2 linked regions of the Kluyveromyces lactis genome follow. The protein of the gene in region 2 purifies or fractionates together with the protein of the main gene of each other region. This does not show direct contact. Links are inferred from orthologs where the notes say so. Each region holds a gene or a part of one and is shown on either strand. Other genes may lie near its edges.

What was found. Proteins that work in one complex are often made in the same cells at the same time.
Region 1: the proteins of PDX1 (region 2) and LPD1 purify together in Saccharomyces cerevisiae (affinity purification with mass spectrometry; 3 studies listed by BioGRID). This does not show direct contact. The link is inferred for Kluyveromyces lactis from reciprocal best matches to the Saccharomyces cerevisiae genes PDX1 and LPD1.

The regions. Positions count from the first base shown.
Region 1 is NC_006040.1:950,948-954,096, forward strand, and holds LPD1 (dihydrolipoyl dehydrogenase), read left to right. Parts: upstream 1-1,101; coding exon 1,102-2,583; downstream 2,584-3,149. Other genes in the region: KLLA0_D11143g (uncharacterized protein), read right to left, coding at 1-16, 105-150.
Region 2 is NC_006041.1:864,742-867,392, forward strand, and holds PDX1 (Pdx1p), read left to right. Parts: upstream 1-862; coding exon 863-2,080; downstream 2,081-2,651. Other genes in the region: XKS1 (xylulokinase), read left to right, coding at 1-296. UniProt on the Saccharomyces cerevisiae protein: Required for anchoring dihydrolipoamide dehydrogenase (E3) to the dihydrolipoamide transacetylase (E2) core of the pyruvate dehydrogenase complexes of eukaryotes. This specific binding is essential for a functional PDH complex.

The sequences.
Region 1 (3,149 bases), on a different chromosome or scaffold from region 2:
ACCATAAGTGAAGATACTGTATTTGACGATGACGATGATGATGTTAGTAAAGTTGAGAATTAAAGGGAAAAAAAAGGGTTAAGAAAATCCGTCCTTAAACATACACGAACTGGCCAACGCCGTTCCAATAAAAATAGGTGCAAATCTCATATCTGCGGCTAATGCTTTGTTATTACTGTTGCTACTCTATTCTTTGTTCTTGCTAACAATCTCCCTTATCCTTCATATATCATGATTCATTATTCTTTTATATGGATATCATATCTCATAGTGAGTATTTGGCAGAAGGAAAAACTGGTAATCAAAAAAAAACAACGTGATCATAAATTAATAAACGTTACCCGGTTTGAATCACGTGTTAATCACGTTCTTGATAGCCCGCCCTGCGCCTTTCGTGTCGGCCCCCGTACGGCTTCCGTTTTTTTAGGTTCGTTTCGTTATTTTTCAACTGATTTCATTCAATAGTTTCAATTTTTGTCGATTCCGAAGGTTTCCCTGTTCCCCACGTCAAGACAGTTGCAACTTTTTTGTGATGAGCCGTCGCCTTTATAGATCACACCAGCGAAACAGCTTTTCACAAAGATACTTCTGTTCACTGTGTTATCCCATTTCGATAATTAATAGTAATGACTCTGGCAGTTTGGAAAGCTCAATAGATTGATAAAAAAAAAACTGGTTCTTCAACTTAAAAGTTGCGCAAAGGAACGATGAAATATAGATCAGTTAAATAAGTGGTCTTCTCTGGAATACTACAGTATTTTTTCGAATTACAATCCGTTCAATTATATAATTGTAGTTTATATATGGTCCGTACCGTAGTGAATCACCAAACCCTACCGCATCATGCTGGTATTTGAGTCCTGTAGATCAATTTTCTTGCTATTTAATTGATCAAACCGTCTAATAGTTGTATTTATTTGGGATCGTAATCTTTTTTTTCCATTCCAATTGACATTAATATAAAAGGAATTCACTAGGATATTTTATATTTCAAGAAATATATCAAGTGAAACCACAGAGAAAGGGTTCAGATAACGTATAAGTAAGAGGTTAGAGGATTATCTTATTTATCTTGTTTATTTATATCCGCCCTAATCAAAGATGTTGAGATTCAATTCTACCCGTTCCTTTAGCTCTTCTGCTCTTTTGAAAACCGTTACTAAGAAGCACGACTTGGTCGTTATTGGTGGTGGTCCAGGTGGTTACGTTGCTGCTATCAAGGCTGCTCAACTCGGTTACGATGTTGCTTGTGTTGAGAAAAGAGGTAGACTAGGTGGTACTTGTTTAAACGTTGGTTGTATCCCATCCAAGGCTTTGTTGAACAATTCTCACCTATACCATCAAATGAAGACGGATGCTAAGCAAAGAGGTATTGATATCAACGGTGAAATCAACATTAACGTTGCTCAATTTCAAAAGGCTAAGGACACTGTCGTCAAGCAATTGACTGGTGGTATTGAAATGTTGTTCAAGAAGAATGGTGTCACTTACTACAAAGGTTTAGGTGCCTTTGAAACTGACAAATCCGTTAAGGTTCTTCCTGTGGAAGGTCTGGAAGGTTCCGTTACTGAAGATCACCTCTTGGAAAGTGACAGGATTATTGTTGCCACTGGTTCTGAAGTGACTCCATTCCCAGGTATCACCATTGATGAGGAAAGAATCGTTTCTTCTACTGGTGCTCTTTCCTTGAAAGAAATCCCAAAGAAATTGGCTATCATCGGTGGTGGTATCATCGGTTTAGAAATGGGTTCAGTTTACTCCAGATTGGGTTCTAAGGTCACTGTGATCGAATTCCAACCTCAAATTGGTGCTACCATGGATGGTGAAGTCGCTCAAACTACTCAAAAGATTTTGAAGAAACAAGGTCTCGACTTTAAGTTGAGCACCAAGGTCTTGTCTGCCTCCAGAAACGGTGACGTCGTTGACATCGAAGTCGAAGGTGCCAAGAATGGTAAGAAGGAATCTCTCCAAGCTGATGTCTTGTTGGTCGCTGTCGGCAGAAGACCATACGTCGCTGGTTTGAACGCTGAAAAGATCGGTTTGGAAGTCGACAAGCGTGGTAGATTGGTCATTGATGAACAATTATCCACCAAATTCCCACACGTCAAGGTTATCGGTGATGTTACCTTCGGTCCAATGTTGGCTCACAAGGCTGAAGAAGAAGGTATCGCTGCTGCCGAATACTTCAAGGTCGGCCACGGTCATGTCAACTACGGTAACATCCCGGCTGTCATGTACTCCCACCCAGAAGTCGCTTGGGTCGGTAAGACCGAAGAACAATTAAAGGAAGCTGGTATTCAATACAAGATTGGAAAGTTCCCATTCATCGCTAACTCTAGAGCTAAAACCAACATGGACACCGAAGGTTTCGTTAAGATTTTGATCGACGCAGAATCTGAACGTTTACTAGGTGCTCACATCATTGGTCCTAACGCTGGTGAAATGATCGCTGAAGCCGGTTTAGCATTGGAATACGGTGCTTCTGCTGAAGACATCGCTAGAGTTTGTCACGCTCATCCAACTCTATCCGAAGCTTTCAAGGAAGCTAACTTAGCTGCTTACGCCAAGCCAATCAACTTCTAATTTTTCTTGATAAAGCGAAGTGGAAAAAAAAAATTGCGGATAATTGAAGCTGCTTGATATCAATAACTATAATAAGCTACTTAACAATGGTACGTCGTATCCAGTTGTCGTCTATTTTTTTTTTTATTTATCTCGCCATCTGAAGCATCTTTCTTCTTATATATTCCTCGAATCATTCTTTGATTTCAAACTATACATTGAAAAGTAAAGATTATCAAAAATAAATAGTAAACACGTATAATATATTTAACGTAAATGATATGAAATGTTTGTAAACGAATTCTCAGAACATTCTCAGCTTGTGTGTAATAGGCACCACATCGTTATATCAAAAAAAGAGATCATTGGTCCAGAATGAACAGGGGAAATAAAAAGATTGGACGAGTCCGGAGTCGAACCGAAGACCTCTCCCATGCTAAGGGAGCGCGCTACCAACTACGCCACACGCCCTAATTTCTTATTAACAAGAGTTTTGAGTGAACCATCACCACTCCGTGTAAACATGATTTTCTATTTATATCATTACGTTTCACAATACTAACTTATAACGCATTTTGACCATTCAA
Region 2 (2,651 bases):
CATCAAAGAACGAAGCCATCATCAAAACGATGGCTAATGTCATTGGAGCCAAGAATGGTAACTACAGACTAGAAACTGCAAATTCGTGTGCTCTAGGCGGTTGCTACAAGGCGCTATGGTCCTTGCTCAAGGAGCAAAACCCCGAAACCCCATCGTTCGACCGATGGTTGAACGCATTCTTTAACTGGGAAAGAGATTGTGAGTTTGTTTGTAACTCGGACGCTGCCAAATGGGAAAACTACAACAACAAGATTCGAACTCTAAGTGAGATTGAAAGAGAAGCGTCATCACACTAAATCAAAAACGCTGTTAGATGAACCTCCAATTGACCGTGACGCATCAATAGCCATGATGCAAGTAAGTAAGTAAGTAAGTAAGTAGGCAATCAATCTTTGTACACATGATGAACCTCTCAAAGACATTACCCGGAAATCGTTATCCACTGTTTGTGAAAAAAAAAAAAAGTGTTATCCCACTAGAGACGACACAGTCCCCCACCCGACGGTTTTATACCGTTGAGATGAGACTATGGGAAAGGTTTAGAAATAAAGTATATATGTGAAAGATTGAATTGTCCAAGTACACAGAGCTTTGAACAAAGTTCAATTGAATACTTTTGTTGTCAATTGTTTCTGGGAGAAAGACGATTTTATCGACAATCTATTGGTAGAAAAAACGAAGTCTGTAAATTGGAAACCTATATTCGTCATTCAGCGAAAGAAGGTGGTAATTAAAAGTATCATTTACAATAGATAAGGACGACACAGATCAGAAAAGAAGCAAAACCATCCTTTGTTAGGCCTGTACGGAAGATATAGGAGAGAGACTGTAGTGTGTTTGTTGAAAAAACCTGTATTCAATAATGTTCCGTTTAGCAATTAAAAACAGGGCGTGTCTCCGTCAATTACACCAATGTAGAACTATGTTGAAGGCCCAAGCCTTTGGGATGCCTGCCATGTCACCAACCATGGAAAGGGGCGGTGTCGTTGATTGGAAGTTCAAAGCTGGTGATACTTTCTCTGCCGGTGATGTGCTCTTGGAGGTTGAAACCGACAAGGCAACCATTGACGTGGAGGCACAAGATGACGGTAAGCTTGCCAAAATTTTGAAGGAGAACGGTGCCAAGGATATTCCTGTCGGGGAACCCATTGCATACATCGCTGATGTGGACGATGATTTGGCCACTTTGGAGTTCCCAAAGCCCGTTGAAGCCAAGAAAGAATCAAAGCCAGTTGAAACTAAAAAGGAGGAGGCCAAACCAGTGGAAAAAACTGACAAGAAGAAGCAAACCAGTGCTTCAAAAACACCTTCTAAGAACGGCAGTGTTCAGGCTAATGCATCTCAAACATTATTCCCATCTGTGCTATCACTACTAGAGGAAAACAATATTTCAACTGCAGATGCGTTGGACAAAATCAAGGCCACTGGTCCAAACGGTAGAATCTTAAAAGGTGATGTGCTAGCCTATTTGGGTAAGATTTCCCAAGATTCGTTGAACAAGGTAACCGAGTACATCAAATCCCATGAGAAATTGGATCTAACCAACATCGAATTAAGACCTGCTAGAGAAACTGCAGCAGCAGCAGCAGCAGCACAAGCTGCTAAACCCGCTAAACCATTACCTCTAGTACTAAGCGAACAGATCACACTCCATGTCCCAGAAAACGTCACTTACTCCCAACTATCTGCTGCGATAGCATCGTACGTCAAGGAATGTTCATTCTTGGCACACGACGAACCATTGACCAATGACGCATCCGAACTATACGACCCATTATTCGAAGAGTTACTAGTACAAGAACCAACAAAACCTCGTTTCAAGGTCACTTATAACATAGTAGACTTGGAACCTACACCAAGACACCGTACCTCTTCACCACAACCAGATATCTTTGATTTATTATCTGGTACAACAACGCAAGAACTACAACAAGAGGCATCCGCAGTATCCAAACAACAACAAACACGTCACGAATACGCGTTGAACGTTTCCGTCGCCGTTGACGAATCGTTAACGGATGCCAAGCAAAGAGCAGAAAATTTCGTTGCCCAACTATCTAACTTGGAATTGTTCCAATGAGTAAAATTACGACAAGACATAAAGAGGAAAAAAAAACTAGAAGAAGCCGAAGCCAAATCTTCTTCGAAATATTCATGCCCCGTCCGCAAGCTGTATAGACTGGACTTAAGAGCCGGCAGATATATATCTATATTATCAGTATAATAGACAAAAAAACGACAACTCAAGAATTCAACCAAACAGGCACTTCAGACTTCTTTATGGTCTTGGCACAGTAAAGAAGATCAAAAAGTAACATCAAAAATTACTGCATCATATTTTCGCAGAATACCAACCTGGCACCAGTGCCCTATTCAGACTAAGCAGCTTTCCATTCCAAAAATACCAGTAGCCTAACTAAGCGAGATGCAAGCGAAATGCGAGATGAAATGAAACCCAAATAAAAAAAAAAAGACACAAACAAACAGGAACAAAATTGCGCGTTTTTCCCCACAGAACAGCACGTAATGTGTACCGTTTTTTGTTTTTCGTTTCAAGTACAAAAAAAACAAAAAACGGTACGCTGTTCACGTGTCTGAAAAACCAGGAACCGTAAAAGGATATTCCGTTAGCCAACAAAAAAATAGGTAAA